Linked DNA regions of Schizosaccharomyces pombe. Changing the gene in region 3 together with the main gene of any one other region gives a genetic interaction. Each region holds a gene or a part of one and is shown on either strand. Other genes may lie near its edges. The genes, in order: rhp23, rhp41, uve1 and rhp7.

Region 1 (4,462 bases), 150 kb from region 3:
GCGTTTTTTGAGGCAAGTAGAAGAATATCTGGCCATATCCCCTAAATATATAAAACAATTATACACGCATTCTAATGCCTCCATATGGTTCCTTGAATACGAAGCTTCAGGAATTGATGACATTTCATCGTTTGAAATAGTCGAAGAAACAGTAGCTGATGATGTCCATTTACAAAAAAACGGTCTGTATGAATCCAATTGGAACTTAGATATTAGTTCACTTATGCAAGTCTGGTAAAAGATTGCACACGTTTTCAAGAATTTAAAGAAAACCTTTTTTGTCTTTTTTTTTTCAACAACGTGTCGAGGATGTATCTTAAAATTAATAATTGTCCCATACTTTAGTTTTTACTCACCTCTCTAAACCTACTTCTAAAATGTTGAATAATTTTATAATGGCAACATGACCATATAATATCTGGACGTTCAAAAGTATTTGTTTGAATACTTTTTAGACGATTTAACAGTTTCTTCTCAACTTCAATTTCAATTGCTATAATTTTCTCATATAAATCATGCTTAAAACCTCCTTGAGCTGCTTCACACAGCGCTTTGACGAGCTTTCCCTGCTCTTCACAAATTTCATTACTTGAAAGTTGTTGCGACATTAATTATAATATCGTCACATTTTAAGAAAAATATAAAAAATTATCAAAAACGTATTTCTGCAGCGTTGAGCGTGGAAATTAGACCACTTAAGTCACTTGACTTCTTCCTACTTGATATCTTATGCAAAAACCCTAAGCGTAATGACAATTCAGTATTAGAGAAAGAAAAATATGGTTCTATCAAATAAAATAGTAGGGAAAAAAAATATATATATGTATATATATAATATTTACATGTACGACAAATGATTGAAAACAACTTATGTGCTGTGCTCGGAGCAACCCTGTACTCAACAATTACAAAAATATCATTGTTTTGTTTAATATTCCGTATCCTTAACTAAATGCTAGCAATAAAGAGCTGAATTAGTTGCCATTTAGGCGTTTTTCAAGCGAAAAGCAATAATTTATAAGGTGCGCGCTTTAAGGTTCATCCTCAGATTCATGTCCATGCTCGAAAAGGTAATTAGCAGCAAGCTACAATTGTTAGTTGATAATTCAATAAATCAAAAAAAAAAAAAAAACACACCTCTTCATTTTTATCACAAGCTAAATAAGCCTGAATTACAATGTTTCTGTCGAAGCCAAGTTGACATAACTAAAAGCTTGTTAGATAGTTAAAACAAAAAAATAGAAATAACATACTCTATCAATACTCTCAGATTCTTCTTGAGTAATTTGAATCTGAATTCCACCAGAAGGTAAGGCAGACTCGCCTTCGGCACCCTCCGCCAATAATTGCAAAAATGCTTCAGGATTTTGCGTAATAGCTTGAGCCAATGCAGGATCTCCCTGCCCAATTTGTTGCAATATAGTTTCCAACATCTGTGGATTTTGTTGAACAATTTGTCTTAGCTGTTGAAATTGAGGAATGCTACGAAGGAAGCCTAGAGGGTCATCACCAACGGTATTAGAAGGTTGTTCTTGATTTTCATTTTCTGATAAAGCAGCTTGTTCAAAAAGATTCGCTGGCTGGCCAGTGGAAGTAGGAGCAAGGGCTTCGCTTTGCTGTTGCTGAGCAGCAAGGGCTGCAGCACTCTCTTCTCTCTGTCGATTGAGAATGTCTTCGGGAATACCAGTTAATAAGTATTCCACTGCCCGATCAGGGTTGTTAAAAGCGGCACGCATGGCTCTTTCAACTTCGCTGCGTTCGTATCCCATTTCTACCATATTTTCGACAGCAACATTTCGTTGAGCACCAACTGCCAATGTGTTGGCGTCTATTGGTGCTTCACTAGTGGCAGTAGTATCTGGGTTTGAAGGGGCAGCAGCAGCAACAGTTTGTGTAGTAGAGGTAGATTCCGCCACGGTAGAAGAAGGAGCTTCAACTTTCTTTTCAGGTACGGAAGCCGGAGGATTGGGGGCAGGACTGGCAGCTGATTTCGGAGTAGAGGTGGAAGTTTTGGGTCGTGAAACCATGCATACAATGAAATCCTGTTCTTTTATATTGTATTCGCCAACAGTTTTGTCATCAGCAAGGATTCGACCTATAAATTAGTATTTTACATATTAAAATTATGTTATATACCTGAGTAAATTAACTTTTGACGTTCGACTTCATAATTCTGTTGCGTTTGAATTTTTTCTTTTAATTCTGAAATCTGTTTACGTTAGAAAAATAATATGCCACAATTATCATACTTTGGTATCTGCAGAAACATCAGAAATAACAAATTTCTGCTGCTGTAGATTTTTGAATGTCAAATTCATTTTCAAAGCAAATTTGGCGTAGTGGGTAAATGTATAGTAATGAAAACCTCTTTGAAAAAACGTTGCATCAGAGAATAATTGTCAAGGTAGCAAACAAACACCATACACAAGTAACATTATTTGGTATCATCGCATTGTTTATCATAAAATGTGAATGAAAAATCTAAAAAGCAAAACAGTTTGGTTTATTTGAACCTAAAATTTAATGTAAGAAAATATTTCATTTGTTTGAAAGTGTTGTGAGTGAAACATTTACCTCGTTTCCAAGTCCATTAGTACTCAATACAGTGTATTAGTTTATTCTTTATTCTTTAATTTACTATATATATATATATTTTTCTGTTGGATTATTCATTCTCATTTTCTATTTATTTACAGAACGATCGCTAATAAATTTATATATATTAATTATGATTTGTTTATTTAAGTTAGCAATGACCGTTACAATAGCAGATTTTTATTTACAAGTTTGACTTTTGAATTATGTTCCGATAGTTTTTCGCTCCTCCGTGGGCAACTAACTAGTAAACAAATGCTACAATAAGGTTGTTTAACTCATGAATATAGAAGTATATGATACGTAGAGTTGTTTATTAATCAGTATCCATATATATATATTTTTTATAGAATTTTCAACTAATAATTGGGATACGATACATATGTTAAACTAATATGAATAGCGTAGACACTTTGCTTAAACGAGATATATACATTTGTTTATTTCATTGATTTTTTTTTTAGCTATTTGGACAGCTACATCAGAATTTGAAAGCAGCGCCTTTGGTTTATACAATCCATTACCTTTGTCAGAGAAAGTATAAGGAAAGCGGAGAGAAAAAAGTCAACGTATATGTAAACTTCCGGATGCTTTCTAATTTTACATATTCTTCCAAATAAAACCCCAAATACTATCCCAAACTATGATAGCCGCTAAACACATAAATATATTTCATTAAAGACTCTCATACGAAAAATGCTGTAAACATATCATTAAAATATGCTAAGCTGCAATAACGAGTCAGGCCCAACATCTCTTTGGTAGACTTCACGAAGATCCACAGTCCAACAACGAAGCTTTACCAATTTAATTTAATCTCCGTTTGCATTATTAAAATATGTCTAAAGGTCCAGGAGATTTTAAGAAGTCTTGGAATGGGTTTGCTGCTCAAACGCCACAAAATACTCCATCTTCAGATGTACATCTTAGTAAGGCCGCATTAGAAAAAGCTAGACAAACCTTGCAATCACAACTGGAGGACAAATCAGCACATGATGAAGTTAGCGGGTTATTGCGCAACAATCCGGCCATGTTATCAATGATTGAGGGACGCCTTAGCTCGTTGGTTGGAAAGTCGTCGGGATATATAGAGAGCCTTGCGCCAGCAGTCCAAAATCGTATTACAGCATTGAAAGGCCTTCAAAAAGATTGTGATGCAATTCAATATGAATTTCGTCAAAAAATGTTAGATCTGGAAACAAAATACGAGAAAAAATATCAACCTATTTTCTCTAGAAGAGCCGAAATTATCAAGGGTGTTTCTGAACCAGTGGACGACGAATTAGATCACGAGGAAGAAATATTTCAAAATAATCTTCCAGATCCTAAGGGAATTCCCGAATTTTGGCTGACTTGTCTTCATAATGTTTTCTTGGTTGGCGAAATGATAACACCAGAAGATGAAAATGTCTTGCGATCACTCAGCGACATTCGTTTTACCAACCTTTCGGGAGATGTTCATGGTTACAAACTAGAATTCGAATTTGACTCAAATGATTACTTTACAAACAAGATTTTAACGAAAACTTATTACTATAAAGATGATTTAAGTCCTTCGGGTGAGTTTTTGTATGATCATGCTGAGGGTGATAAGATTAATTGGATCAAGCCTGAAAAAAATTTAACGGTTAGAGTGGAGACAAAAAAACAACGTAACCGTAAAACAAATCAAACTAGATTGGTCCGTACTACGGTCCCTAATGACAGTTTTTTCAACTTTTTCTCACCTCCTCAGTTGGACGATGATGAATCTGATGATGGTTTGGATGACAAAACAGAGCTTTTAGAACTCGACTATCAATTGGGAGAAGTCTTTAAAGATCAAATCATACCCTTGGCAATTGACTGTTTCTTAGAAGAAGGTGAC
Region 2 (5,137 bases), on a different chromosome or scaffold from region 3:
AAACTCTTGGAATCACGGTGGATATTTGAATCAAATGGAGTGGTTGGATGGCACAGTGAAAGGCGAGGAAAATTCTCAATTCACACTAAAAATTCATGAAAGACTTGCTTCTTTTTTCTCTCAGAAACGGTATAGAAATGTCGTTACAATATACGGTGCACTTAACGAACCAAATTTCTTCGTTCTTGATGAGCACAAAATTACTGATTGGCATAAGCAAGCCTATGCGGTAATTCGCCAATCTAATTTTACAGGTCTAATATCACTTAGTGATGGATTTCGTGGTCCAGGTAATTGGGAAGATCATTTTGATCCATTTCACTTCCCAAACATACTTATCGATGTACATAGGTATATCATTTTTAATGATTTCTTAATTGGTTTGAGGCCAAAAGATAAACTTAATGTGATATGTAAGTCATGGAACGAAGAAATGAAGTTAAAGGCCAAATTACCGACGATTATAGGAGAGTGGAGCCTTGCGGATACAGATTGTGCTAAGTTTTTAAATAATGTTGGAGAGGGTGCTCGATGGGACGGCACTTTTACTCCTAATGGAGGTGTTGCCAGTTGTTCTGAAAAAGTTGGTTGTCGTTGCGACTTCGCAAATCAGGACCCCGAAAATTACGAGGATTCTTATCGAAAGTTTCTATATGCTTTAGCTACTTCACAAATTGAAACATTTGACAAAACATGGGGCTGGTTTTATTGGAACTGGGACACCGAAAATGCCACTCAATGGAGTTACAAAAAATCATGGCTGGCAGGTTTGTTGCCTCGCTTGGCTTACTCTACAACGAAGGATTTCAATTGCAGCATGCTTGATTCTAAATCTTTCATGGAGTTTGACGAGCAATCTGAATTTTGATGGTAATTAGAAAATGCAAGCATTGTTCTTTGGATAATATCAATCTTTTATTTTAATTTATGTCAATATAAAGGTACTTATTAAAGACCCCTGAATTCTATAGAATTTTAAAGTCATGATCGCTCATCTTTATTTGTGTACTAATATATATATACAAAGAAATATATGATAACAATTCAAACTTCGTATTACAATAAAAAATAAATAACAACCTTGATGTAGATAACACTAAGAATGTGTAGCCAGGTACTTTGTAAAATGATTCCATCATTGAGCTCGTAGATTAGGAAAATCGAATTTATCAATTAACCGTATTCTTCGAATACACGCTGACGAATCCGAAGGCCTGTAATCAGTCGCTTCCATAATAAAAGACAAGTCTTTCTTACATTCCTTGCCTCTGCTTCTTTTTCTTCCTGGTCTATCTCCTCTGCAATGAGATCGATAGCCTCTTCATAACGCTTAGAAACAACAACTCCCTCTAATTTAGGCTTTGAGTACTTCCGTTGAAAATCAAATCCAACAACTGCTTTTGCATAGTCAATCTCTAAAAATTTAGCTGCTGCCAAAGCACAACGTTTTCTACAATGATATGCTCCATATGGCAACATTGAAGGGACATATAAATCGATGTTTCCGTATGCATTTTTAGGAACAATGTTCGCAACAACCGGTTTCGGAGTGTACAACTGCGTAGCTTCTTCATCATACAAGGGTAATACTTTATCTCCATTCTTAACATGTTTTAAAGGCTGAGCTCCTGGCTTTATGATACGACCCTTACGATACCAATGTTCAGCAGAGAAGCCGTTGCTAACATATTTGCGTGGATACACTAATTCGACCCCATTTTTTGTGTTGATTCTTCCACAGGATTTACCAGTTTTAATAGCCTGGTTCTTTTTTAAATGCCTCTCCAAAACAAAAAGCGGGTGATCTTTCAAATCTTGAATATTCCTCGGAATTCCTTCTGATTGTTCAAGCCTTAGTAATTCCGCATCCTCTATAGCATCCATGTCATTATAAAAATCCCTTGGTTTTCCAATTTTAGAAAATATTCTATTCATCCAAGCCTTTCCAAAGGGAAAAATCTCGACTCTATTCTTTAATATTTTATAATAATGTAAACAATATTTTCGGGTAACATCTTTTACATACCCATTAGCCTCAATAGCAAATACATAAGTCATTTGATTTAGATGGTCACTGGAAGCCGGTTCAAACCTTCTGTACTTGCCAATGACACTAGCATCACCAAATGGATCAACACAAACCCATTTTTGCATAGCTTTATTAAAAGCCTCTACCCAAAAAACCGGTTTGGGAGAATCAATTACCTTTAGTTTTGTATCTTCTGTAACAATATCTGAGGCATCAAGATGTGAAAGATTTGAAAAAGAAGGCTGTATGATTTTCCTACGTTTGCGAAATCTAGAAGTAATGTGTGCACTTTCAGAGATATCGCTAGATGAATCATTTTCCATTTGCTGAGACCATGCCGGAACAATTTCATGACTACTTGCTTCATTTATGGCACCTTTAAATCGAAAAGATAAAACTTGTAGTGAAAAAACTAGTCTAGTTGGAACGTTTAAATTACGAAGAATAGATGCAAATAACTGGGTTCCATAATCTCTACTACCGGAAAGCAATTTTGAGTTTTTACAAAACTCCTCAAGGGATAAAGATTCAGAGATGAGGCTATTGTTTTGTAGTAAACCATAATTCGGTTTTCTTAATCCATTGGTAGTGATTTTATATTTCCGTTTCCAAACTTCGACGAGTCCAGCCAACCCGTGTAGGAAAGTTTTGTTCCGAATCATTTGTGACTTTTGAGAAGAGGGATGAAGCGAGACACGTATACCAGGAGGAATATATTTCACAAGATAATTTAGTCTATTGTCATCGCACCAAGTGTTTCGTGTGCAAAGATGATAAGTCAAACAGAGTAAGTGTAACTGATGAATTTGAAGACGAATCTTTCTATCAACGGAAGTGATCTTTAAGCGGCTACGTTTTTCAACCGTTCGATCAACGGTGGCCTCAACGTCTCCAAAATCATGAGTTGGTCGTTCTTGAATCAACCTTTCACCATGTACGGCGGATGAAAGGAGCGAAGAATTTAAAATAGGTGCAGTTTTAATATCATTATTAGGGAGACCAAGATCTAAATCTAACCATTCTTCATCATCACTATAGGTATTATCTTCGTCACTCATCATAGCATTTATATTTGATAGAAGCCAACTTTTTTCAGTATTAAGACTCGTTGCGCCCTTATTCTATTATATTATTTTAAAAAATGAAACATAAAAAACCAATGAAACGTTTTTGAGATGCGTAACTCTTTAAAAACACTAGGGAGCACGAGTTTATAAAGATACTTCAATTAAGTAGAATATAAGAAAATGTTTTGACCATTAATAATGCACGTAACACATGAGAAAAAGATTTGTATTTATTGATACGAAAAGTAGTTCATAACGTTAAGAAAAACAAATTCCTTTTCTATTAAAATCATAGCTAACGTTGAATTTGTTTATATACAGCGTTGTAGTGAAACCAAAAATCGCCGTTAGAGTACATTATATTTTAAGTTAGAAGTTTGCGTTGCATTTTGGTAAACGGCATATCTTTGAGGTAGCGATATGGCTACTTTGCAACTTCAATCTTTAGCATTGCACAGGCTATTCGAATTTCAAATTGCCTTTTTCAAGGGTTTACTATCTCTATCCTATATAAATTTCGTTAAATTTCTTTTTATCAAGAATTGAGGCTCGTTTATCCGGTCATAACTTTTGGTAGCTTTAAAAGGTCTCTTTGTTTAGGATAGAATAGAATTTGCTACCGTTCTCTCACGAGAGCTTAAAGATGGTAGGCACTTCTTCTTTAGATATTTCAATGAGCGGTAGCTCAAGTTCGGACGCAGAACAATGGGAGAAACAGACAAAAAGTGTCCATATCGATAATTCGTAAGTAACTGAAATAGTTGCTTCGCTGAACGTTACTGATGGTTACTAATCATTGCTTGTACAGAGACGTGAATTCGCTGATTTTAGATTATTTGGTGATTCAAGGTGACGAAGAAGCCGCAAAAACATTTGCTGAAGAAGCTCAAATTACGGATTATTATATTCCTCCATATGTAAAAGAACGTTTAGAGATTTGCGAGTTAATTAAATCAGGTTCAATTAACTCTGCAATATGCAAACTGAATGAATTGGAGCCAGAGGTATGCTGAAAGCAAGTAAGGATTACGAGTTAACAGCTACATAGATTTTGGACACAAATTCAGAACTTCTGTTTGAATTATTACGATTGAGATTGCTTGAATTGATACGAGAAGTTGTTGAAGAGAAAGATACCTCTGATTTAGCGGTAGAAAGATGTTTAAACTTTGCACATGAAAATTTAGCACCTTTAGCACCCTCAAATCAAAAGTTTTTGAATTCTTTAGAGTTGACAATGTCGCTTTTATGTTTTCCTCCTTCTTCCTACAGCCCTGCCTTGAAAAATGTTTTGAATTACAGCCAACGTGAGCGTGTTGCAAACCTTGCCAACGTTAGTATATTGAAGTCTCAAGGATTATCAAATGAGTCTAGGTTGTTGTCTTTGGTAAATTTTGAGCGCTGGTGTGAAAAAGAGGCACAAAGGAATTCGATTGAAGTGCAGAAATTTGTGCCCAAAGCATCCATAAAATGATTACTTTTTACGACCTTCCTCAGTTTATGCATTTATGTCTGTTACATCCATTTAACATAAGAACTTTTTTCGTATTGTTCTCACTAATGATAATTAAATTATTGAACTCACAAATGATAATATGACATTCAATTAACAAAGCCAATTTTTGTTGTTAAGCAACATCGTATAGTATCAAGTTACTGACAAGCAAAGCAAACACAACTTTTCCTTTTAAAAGTAAGGAGGGAATTTAATGGGTTATTAAATTAGCAATATTTTTTCTATGGCGAATAATTTGATTTTCTTCATTGGTAATCATAGATAACTGTAGCGAGATGCCTTTCGTTCTCGCAAATTAAGATTGTTTAGGCTAAAAAAAAAGGTTAGAATTGGATATAAACAAAAGTGTTCCAAAACTGAAAACTTACCAAATTTCAAAATTGAGCGTTTGTCGCTTTTCCAAAAAACTAGAAGTTTCCAACAACATATTGATATTAGGGCCTTGTAATGTTTCGGCTTGCAAGGTTTGTAAAAGGAATTCCTTAAATTCTTGGCTAATTAATCCACGAACTCGGTTGACTAAAA
Region 3 (4,489 bases):
CAACAGAAGTGGTAGTGGCAGATGTCGAAGATTCAGGTTCCCCCTCAGATGTCTCTGATTTCTGCGCAGTGGGGCGTGAAGGAGTCGCATAAGTTGAAGGAGTGGAGGATGCCTCTAACAAGGCGTTAATAAACGGGGTCATGCTGTAGTCTTTGGCAAGAGCCAAGGCATCTGCAGGAGGCACCCATAGTCCAGCAACACGTTTGTCTTCAATTGGGTTTAAATTATCACGAATCCATCTCATTTCCAAGTCTTCTTCTTCTTGGGTAGCCTTAGGGAAAGCTGAACGAAACCTAATCGGGTTTAGATTTTTAGAAAAAGATATGAAAAAACGCTTACATTGACGTAGCACTAATGCTTGAATCCTTTGCCATCCTCATAAGAAAGTGAGGTCTATATTTATATACATCATTAGTATTTTTCCAAAAACAACACTGCAAAAAAAAGATAATTACACTTTAGATTCCGGATTTGTACACTTGAGACGAACAAAAGTAGCTGGTCCATCAGGAAATTCTATTACCTGAGCGCGACACTTTGGGATTAATGGTGTATCTGCTATATTAGTTTCACGTAATTTCGGGAAGCGCGTACGGTCAAGTGTATCGTCTTTATAGAGAGGGTTTCTAATATCAATTAGTCGTTTTCTTTAAATATACGAACCTTTCAGCAGGTAAAGACCTGCTTTTCTCATTCTCAGTCATGGTATTCAATTAAGGGGAAAGGTAACAATTAATCGCCGTCGTCGACGTTTGTATAATTCCTCTCTTACAACGTTTATGTAATAGCTGATTGTATAGAGCAATAGTGGTGCTACCTTAAATGATAATATCGAGTGATGCTAGGACGTACTTCGTTATAAACTATGTGCAAAGCAAGAATTACTAATTCTTTAAACACCTCGAGGTCATGTATAGTCGATGCTTATGCTGAAATGTAATGTTAATATTGTTTATTTGAAGATTCAATGTGGTTCCAATTTTTTACGCTTTTCTGTTGGGATACAAACTTAAGGAAAATATTCACACGCGGGCAGCACGCTGCCAAATGTTAAATATAAGAAGCGCTGATCATTTATTTCTGCTAGAAGTTTGTTTTGTCAATCGATCAGCCAGGTCGGCAAAAACGATGCGGCAGTAAGAAGCGTTCTTCATGCTACTGGTTGTAATAGTATTTGCAGAAAAAACCAATCGTTTCGCTGATGCAGCTATCTACGGTTCTAAAGATATACTGTATTTTATCGTAAACAATTCGCTTCGTTTACTCTACCTACATTGCGATTTCGCAATGATGGCTTCTCAACCAACTCATTAATGCTGATGGTATTAAATCTATTGTGAATTACACGGTAATTGTTTGTATATTTTTAAAGATGTCCATGTCAGCAGAAAGCAGCATTAAGACGGTTCATAATACAATATAAATGACCCGAATCCGCCTACTTCTGCTTCCCATACACACATATGCTACAGATGGTAAAATAAATTGTCGCGACTCCTTGACTTGGCCAAATTTTCATTTCAAATGTTTTTTCCTATCTGCTGTTTTTTTGATTGTTCAACTGAATCTGCAATTATTAAAGAGAAAGCAACACAATCTTTTTACTTAACATTGTATTGCTAAACTAAGCTCGATTTGAGAAACCAAAATTTCCTCGTAAAAGCAGTCCTATCTACACTGAACAATAACTGTCAAAAGTTGAATCCCTTGAGCATCAGTAATCTCATGGCCTTCCAATAAAATCATAGCGAATTTTGACGTAACAATGATACAAAACCATTTTTGGTTTACTGGGAATGAAAGAAGATTTGTCTTCACACTCGTTGATTTTGACTAGTATTGAGTCTCAATCACTTCTTGTCGATATCTCTTTTCACTTACAAGATAATAGTTGTAGGGATATAAGCAAGTTTGCGAAGGGCTTATTTCCTTCTAAATAATGTCATATTGATACTAAAATCGTTTTCATTTTTTAATGCTTAGGCTATTGAAACGAAATATTCAAATCTCTAAACGCATTGTTTTCACCATATTAAAACAAAAGGCATTTAAAGGTAATCATCCTTGTGTACCGTCGGTTTGTACCATTACTTACTCTCGTTTTCATTGTTTACCCGATACCCTTAAAAGTTTACTTCCAATGAGCTCAAAAACCACACTCTCAATGTTACCGCAAGTTAATATCGGTGCGAATTCATTCTCTGCCGAAACACCAGTCGACTTAAAAAAAGAAAATGAGACTGAGTTAGCTAATATCAGTGGACCTCACAAAAAAAGTACTTCTACGTCTACACGAAAGAGGGCACGTAGCAGTAAAAAGAAAGCGACAGATTCTGTTTCCGATAAAATTGATGAGTCTGTTGCGTCCTATGATTCTTCAACTCATCTTAGGCGATCGTCGAGATCAAAAAAACCGGTCAACTACAATTCCTCGTCAGAATCCGAATCGGAGGAGCAAATTAGTAAAGCTACTAAAAAAGTTAAACAAAAAGAGGAAGAGGAGTATGTTGAAGAAGTCGACGAAAAGTCTCTTAAAAATGAAAGTAGCTCTGACGAGTTCGAACCGGTTGTGCCGGAACAGTTGGAAACTCCAATTTCTAAACGAAGACGGTCTCGTTCTTCTGCAAAAAATTTAGAAAAAGAATCTACAATGAATCTTGATGATCATGCTCCACGAGAGATGTTTGATTGTTTGGACAAACCCATACCCTGGCGAGGACGATTGGGGTATGCTTGTTTGAATACTATTTTAAGGTCAATGAAGGAGAGGGTTTTTTGTTCACGCACCTGCCGAATTACAACCATTCAACGTGATGGGCTCGAAAGTGTCAAGCAGCTAGGTACGCAAAATGTTTTAGATTTAATCAAATTGGTTGAGTGGAATCACAACTTTGGCATTCACTTCATGAGAGTGAGTTCTGATTTATTTCCTTTCGCAAGCCATGCAAAGTATGGATATACCCTTGAATTTGCACAATCTCATCTCGAGGAGGTGGGCAAGCTGGCAAATAAATATAATCATCGATTGACTATGCATCCTGGTCAGTACACCCAGATAGCCTCTCCACGAGAAGTCGTAGTTGATTCGGCAATACGTGATTTGGCTTATCATGATGAAATTCTCAGTCGTATGAAGTTGAATGAACAATTAAATAAAGACGCTGTTTTAATTATTCACCTTGGTGGTACCTTTGAAGGAAAAAAAGAAACATTGGATAGGTTTCGTAAAAATTATCAACGCTTGTCTGATTCGGTTAAAGCTCGTTTAGTTTTAGAAAACGATGATGTTTCTTGGTCAGTTCAAGATTTATTACCTTTATGCCAAGAACTTAATATTCCTCTAGTTTTGGATTGGCATCATCACAACATAGTGCCAGGAACGCTTCGTGAAGGAAGTTTAGATTTAATGCCATTAATCCCAACTATTCGAGAAACCTGGACAAGAAAGGGAATTACACAGAAGCAACATTACTCAGAATCGGCTGATCCAACGGCGATTTCTGGGATGAAACGACGTGCTCACTCTGATAGGGTGTTTGACTTTCCACCGTGTGATCCTACAATGGATCTAATGATAGAAGCTAAGGAAAAGGAACAGGCTGTATTTGAATTGTGTAGACGTTATGAGTTACAAAATCCACCATGTCCTCTTGAAATTATGGGGCCTGAATACGATCAAACTCGAGATGGATATTATCCGCCCGGAGCTGAAAAGCGTTTAACTGCAAGAAAAAGGCGTAGTAGAAAAGAAGAAGTAGAAGAGGATGAAAAATAAAAATCCGTCATACTTTTTGATTTATGGCATAATTTAGCCATCTGCATTTTCAATGCAATCATTTTTGTCTTTTTGGCTCTAGATATTTCCGAAAAAATTCACTAGAGTACTATTTATTTTCTTATTTGCTTACTGTCCATGCTAATATTTAATCTAAAAGTTATTGTTTTATTTACAATCAAATTTCAATAAAACATTTCAATTAAATATAAAATTTAAACTAGTAATTTACGATTTACACGAATTATGTAAAACTTTAAGCAATTCCGGTCATATTGGTATTGTCGTTTTCTGATCAATATTATAATTCCTTTCCACTAATCTTCGTAAGCTTGTGTAACTTAACTGCAAAAATTCTCAAGGCTTCGAAAGATTAAATGAGCTTCTCTTTATTCATATACAATGTCAAACAAAAATCAAAGGAAAACTAAGTCAAAAGATAGAGAAGTTCGTAAAACCAATGACAGCTCAATTCTTTCAAAAGCCTCAGTTGAAAAATGTGGATATCCAGGTTTTACCGTAGGACATTCTTATTATCAACCGTTTATACAGAAATCACCTAGAAGATCGCCAAGCGTAAATAGAGGTTATTGGACACGATGCATGGCTATTCGATTTGCAGTGTACCAGTTTTTGAAGAATAAAACCGGCAAAAGAAAGGCAATAGTGAATTTAGGTGCAGGATACGACCCCTTAGCCTTTCAACTTTTAAGT
Region 4 (5,126 bases), on a different chromosome or scaffold from region 3:
TCGTTTTCTGGAAGAAAGCCCATTCATTCTCTGACCATTTGCTCTATATAAATTGATATTTCACAGGTTTGAAGATAGCCTCTTTCAAGATGTATATTAATCAAGAGGAAGATAATCGCATATCTTTAATGGAGAATGGTAGTCTTGAACAAAAGGTACGTTTAATCATTCTTTTATAATAAATCAACGGCTCACTAAGTAATTCTTCTTTATAGTGAGGCTCATGACCGTAGTCGTAAACTCGAATTATTAAGCATTAGAATCAATATTTTCGGTTTACAACTCAATATTATTATTAATCTCATACCGCTTGTCTTGCTTTTTGCTTTTTTTTGCCCTTGTATATATTTTTTGCATACTTTTCTGGCGGATTGTGAGATAGCCAAATCGACTTGCATAACCAGTGTTTTCAATTGTTTGATTTTTCATATGCCCAACTTGTCGGGCGATTGGAATATTACAGTTTGAAAAGAATGTTTGCAGTTTAAAAAGGATAAATATTTATGTTTGTTTGATGAGCTTTGCGTTTCCGAGCAGCAGTAAACCTCTTTAGTCTGGCAAGCAATACCATTAGTGTACTATTCATAATCTTATGCTATATAAAATCAAGGTGATTGAAAATTACATTGCTTGATATTTGTATTACAACAAAGAGCAGCGGGATTTTTTTTTTAAAAAAAGGTAGTTAAATTGTTTGATTATGTGTAAAAATGATTCGGAGATCCATTCGTAAAGAGAGGGAATGGTAATAAAAAAATAATTCATTACCCAAAGAAATGGTTAGCTATTTGTTCGCAGACCATATCATCTAATTTGAAAATAAATAAATAAATAAAATTAAAAATAAAAAGGTTTCAAATACAAATATTCGTTAAAGAATAATATCAGAAAGACACAAAAAGAGATTGAGGCTGTTCAAGGAACTTAGTGTCCATCAAATAAGGTGATAATTTAAATAATGTACTAGTCATTAAATTTTTCAAAAGAATAATTACAGGTCCAATTCAACAACCAAAACCTTTGATAAAATTGAAAAAGAAAGTATTTCCATCCTTATTGAACTTCACGCCCTATCAGAAGTAACCGATTTGAGGGCATCAGGACATGATTATCTCCCCATACCAAAAGCTTCTCAAGCGTTGGCTTTTTGCTTTCAAAATCGCATACCAATTTGTCATTCATTCCACGAATCCAGCTGACATCAAGTGCTTTTAGCATAGGTAATGGAAAATTGACAATATACTGTAATGCTTCATCAGTCACAAACGACATTCCATTTAAATCCAGAGTGCGAAGCGTATGCCCTGAATTAACCAATACTGCACGAACAGTTTTATCTCCAAGTGACAGACACCTTCTTAAGGACAATGTTTCTAAGCCTGACTGAATCTTCCATTCACCAAAAACTATAGAGGCCTCATCATCTGTTAACAGTTCCAAACCACTTAAATTTAGATGCTTAAGACGACCACAACAAGGACCTATACCTTGTTTCAAAACTTCATCAGTTAATTTTGTACAACCAGATAAACTAAGAGTATGCAAACCGCTTCCAATTTGGTTTAGTACATCTAATATACTTCCATCATTAATGATGCCGCCTGGTGATTCAATCTTCAAACTGACAAGATTTCTACAACCAGCTAATAGACGGACGCATTCATCATCAAGATAGAAAATTCTAGAGAGATTAAGGCTAATCAAATTTGGGCAACAGTCAACTATAGCGTTGATAACCGAAACATGAATTCGGGCAGTATCCGTAAGCTCTAAACTTATAAGCTTTGAACCCCGTTTTTTAAAAAAATTTATCCATTCTGAGGAAGAAACCAAAAAGGCACCTTGAAAAGATACATCTGTTAATTCAGTCAAATGATCCGCATAAAAGTGTAAAACTTGATCCTGCATTTGACCACAATAAGTAAGATGCAAAGTTTGAAGATTTGGGCAGTATTGAGCAATTTGGAAAAGTGAATCTGCTGTAATCTTTGAGCAATCATATAGTTTTAATTCAGTTTGACCCCCACTTAAGAATAATTTCACAGTAGTATCGTTAAGAGAGCGGTTTTTTGAAATTATTTGGCTAATTTTGTCCATATTCACTTGGCCAATATCCCCAAAAGCTTCGATATCATTTATGTATTCAGCAATAACTCGTATACACAAATCCTGAAGCTTAGGAACACTGATTTCTTCGTCCATGGTAGCGGCAGCCACCTTTTTACGGGTCAATGCTTTTCTTTTTCTCGTCCTTAATTCAGGTACCGATCGATCTTCAGCACCACGACTACAAGGATAACATAGCCACCCTTTCTCTGAATTGCTGTATTTGCTGTATGGGGTTATTGTAAAGCGACAATTACAGTGTGCGCAAAAATCTAGTTTGCCCGTATGCTCCCTTGCTTTATAAGAAAACCCAGCTCTTGAATTCATTGAAAAAGTGTCCTCGTTGTCTTCAGCTTCTTCATCCGTTTTCTTCTTCTTTTTTTGATTTCGTAGATTTCGTCGTTTCACTACTGGTATCTCAATTGTCGTTGTCGACATCGAGTTTTCATCTTCGTTGTTTTCTTCAACAGAAGTCGGTGTTTGAATAACTTCTGATTCTGTCCCAGTCGATTGCCCTGCTGACTCCTCGCTTTGACGAGGAGGACGAGCACGTCCTAATGCTGAAGCATTGATACCTTGAGACTGAATAATGCATTAGTAACTCCGAGCTAAGAAAGAGTCATCACATACTCTTAAAAATTCTGTTAAAGCAGAATTTGGCCCTCTCACCCGACTTCCACTTGACATTTTAAAGAAATCCTTAGTATGCTGAGGATAAGGTGGAAGTGTGGTTGAGTTTAATTAAATCGCTTCAGATCGCGTGGCAACTTGTCTCATACCAACCACTACTATGCATATATCTACTCTAAAAGTGGACCAATTACAAAATGAAGCTGTAGATATTAATTCAAACGATACAATTGATTCCATAAATTGGAAAAATACTCGCAATAACCATACTACTCAGGCGTCTCTTCAAGCAGACAATAATGATGAGCAAAGTAATGGGCAGGCTCCATTTTCTACTACTTATTCAGAGATAAATAACATTCATGATGTACCAGGCAATCAAGATGAATGGTCATCTTCTCCCATTGCGGGCATTATTGTAGAAAGTGAAGATGAGGAAGTGGTTGAAAACAATTTACATTCACAAATGGGGACGTCATGTAATAAAATAAACTCGAATAGTAATAAGGGAAAAGAAAATATGCATTTTGTTCTAGATGATAATGGTGATTCAAAGGGGAATGCTTCAAATCAACAAGTCGAGCGTGACGACAAGTTAGATATGGAGACAACGCGCTGGAACGGAAAAGAGTTTGAAGAACCTCTGTCAACAAACAAAAAATTGATTATCCAGTCAAACAACACCTCATCTCAACATTCGACACCCCCATTATCCATTTCTGATACCAGTACACACACCGGTAGCAGCACAGACAATGTAGAAGCAAATCCCAATACAGGTTTTTCTAGTGCCAGAAAACGTTCATTAAGGTCCTCGAATTTGAAAAAAAAGTTTGTGCCATTGTCATCTCCAGAAGAATCTAATGAATCCGAATTTATTGATGATGATGAAAGTGATGAAGTTGCTAGCATAATTGATATCAAAGAGGATGAAACTTTTGATAGTAAAGTAGAAATTCCAGAAGCTGCTCCAAGTTCTTCTACGGAAAGTGATGAAGAGTCAATCCCTTTAAGTTACCAGTCCAAACGAAGGAGGGTATCCGCTAGGGCTTCTTCTTCCGCGTCCTCTTCCTCTAGAACACAAGCAAAATCAATTCCATCACATGAAAGAACCCATTATCGTCTGATTCGACAACATCCTGAACTAGAACATGTTTGGGAGAAATTGGAAGAAGAAGCACCTCGTGAAGTGAAACAGATCGAGCAACCCAAAGAGTTGGTCCTAAACCTTCTCCCTTTTCAACGAGAAGGTGTATATTGGTTAAAACGACAAGAAGATTCCTCTTTTGGTGGAGGAATCTTGGCCGATGAAATGGGTATGGGTAAGACTATTCAAACAATTGCGTTGTTGCTTTCAGAACCTCGAGGTAAGCCAACCTTGGTTGTTGCTCCGGTTGTAGCAATTATGCAATGGAAAGAAGAGATTGATACACATACCAATAAAGCACTGAGTACATATCTTTATTATGGCCAGGCTCGTGATATTTCAGGAGAAGAGCTTTCGAGCTATGATGTTGTACTAACGAGTTACAATGTAATTGAATCAGTTTACAGGAAGGAACGCAGCGGATTCAGAAGGAAAAACGGTGTTGTAAAAGAAAAGTCATTACTTCATCAAATGGAGTTTTACCGAATTATACTTGATGAGGCCCATGGTATCAAATCAAGGACTTGTAACACTGCCAGAGCTGTTTGTGGCTTAAGAACGACAAGAAAGATATGTCTTTCAGGAACACCTTTGCAAAACCGTATTGGAGAATTATTTTCACTTCTTCGGTTCCTACGGGCAGATCCTTTTGCTTACTACTATTGCTTGCAATGTGAATGTAAATCTCTGCACTGGAGATTTTCCGATAGAAGTAATTGCGACGAATGCGGCCATAAACCAATGAGTCATACTTGCTATTTTAACGCTGAAATGCTAAAACCAATACAAAAGTTTGGATACGAAGGTCCAGGAAAGCTAGCTTTTAAAAAGGTGCATTCTTTATTAAAACACATTATGTTACGTCGAACAAAATTAGAGAGGGCTGATGACCTTGGATTACCTCCTCGAGTCGTTGAAGTGAGGAAAGATTTATTCAACGAAGAAGAGGAAGATGTATACCAATCTTTATATATGGATTCAAAAAGAAAATTTAATACATATCTTGCTGAAGGTGTCGTTTTGAATAATTATGCAAACATTTTCCAGCTAATTACACGAATGCGCCAAATGGCAGATCATCCTGACCTGGTGTTAGCTAGCAAACGAAAAACAGTTGATATTGAAAATCAGGAAAATATCGTCTGTAAGATTTGTGACGAAGTCGCTCAAGATGCTATAGAATCACGTTGCCATCACACATTTTGTCGACTCTGCGTTACGGAATATATCAATGCAGCTGGTG

The links.
Region 1: of uve1 (region 3) and rhp23, changing one enhances a phenotype caused by changing the other (phenotypic enhancement), as found in Schizosaccharomyces pombe (2 studies listed by BioGRID).
Region 2: of uve1 (region 3) and rhp41, changing one enhances a phenotype caused by changing the other (phenotypic enhancement), as found in Schizosaccharomyces pombe (2 studies listed by BioGRID, with this or other methods).
Region 4: mutations in uve1 (region 3) and rhp7 impair growth when combined (synthetic growth defect), as found in Schizosaccharomyces pombe (2 studies listed by BioGRID, with this or other methods).

Annotation. Positions count from the first base shown.
Region 1 is NC_003423.3:2,984,820-2,989,281, reverse strand, and holds rhp23 (UV excision repair protein rhp23), read right to left. Parts: upstream 2,354-4,462; 5' UTR 2,319-2,353; coding exon 2,250-2,318; intron 2,214-2,249; exon of another isoform or gene 2,210-2,213; coding exon 2,137-2,209; exon of another isoform or gene 2,096-2,136; coding exon 1,254-2,095; exon of another isoform or gene 1,207-1,253; coding exon 1,138-1,206; exon of another isoform or gene 1,086-1,137; coding exon 1,032-1,085; 3' UTR 793-1,031; downstream 1-792. Other genes in the region: telomerase regulator Est1, read right to left, coding at 1-315, 357-608; nucleosome assembly protein Nap2, read left to right, coding at 3,434-4,462. UniProt on the Schizosaccharomyces pombe protein: Involved in postreplication repair of UV-damaged DNA. Postreplication repair functions in gap-filling of a daughter strand on replication of damaged DNA.
Region 2 is NC_003424.3:4,592,700-4,597,836, forward strand, and holds rhp41 (DNA repair protein Rhp41), read right to left. Parts: upstream 3,397-5,137; 5' UTR 3,091-3,396; coding exon 1,174-3,090; 3' UTR 901-1,173; downstream 1-900. Other genes in the region: glucan glucosidase exg2, read left to right, coding at 1-868; gid8 (ubiquitin ligase complex subunit protein), read left to right, coding at 3,740-3,840, 3,905-4,100, 4,145-4,570; tea5 (serine/threonine protein kinase Ppk2), read right to left, coding at 4,868-4,922, 4,981-5,137. UniProt on the Schizosaccharomyces pombe protein: Has a role in the nucleotide excision repair (NER) pathway. Acts in both transcription-coupled repair (TCR) which removes damage from the transcribed strand of active genes and in global genome repair (GGR) which removes damage in untranscribed DNA.
Region 3 is NC_003423.3:2,837,072-2,841,560, reverse strand, and holds uve1 (endonuclease Uve1), read left to right. Parts: upstream 1-1,975; coding exon 1,976-3,775; 3' UTR 3,776-3,989; downstream 3,990-4,489. Other genes in the region: integral nuclear inner membrane protein Bqt4, read right to left, coding at 1-293, 340-393, 456-555, 595-626, 664-704; tRNA methyltransferase Ppm2, read left to right, coding at 4,178-4,489. UniProt on the Schizosaccharomyces pombe protein: Endonuclease for the repair of UV-irradiated DNA. Involved in the excision of cyclobutane pyrimidine dimers (CPD) and 6-4 pyrimidine pyrimidones (6-4PP) which forms the UV damage repair (UVDR) pathway. Also functions in oxidative damage repair in vivo.
Region 4 is NC_003421.2:103,347-108,472, reverse strand, and holds rhp7 (DNA repair protein), read right to left. Parts: upstream 2,794-5,126; coding exon 2,737-2,793; exon of another isoform or gene 2,689-2,736; coding exon 1,054-2,688; 3' UTR 625-1,053; downstream 1-624. Other genes in the region: SPOM_SPCC330.19C (uncharacterized protein), read left to right, coding at 136-155, 216-468; rhp16 (ATP-dependent helicase), read left to right, coding at 2,897-5,126. UniProt on the Schizosaccharomyces pombe protein: Involved in global genome repair (GGR) via nucleotide excision repair (NER), in conjunction with rhp16, after UV irradiation.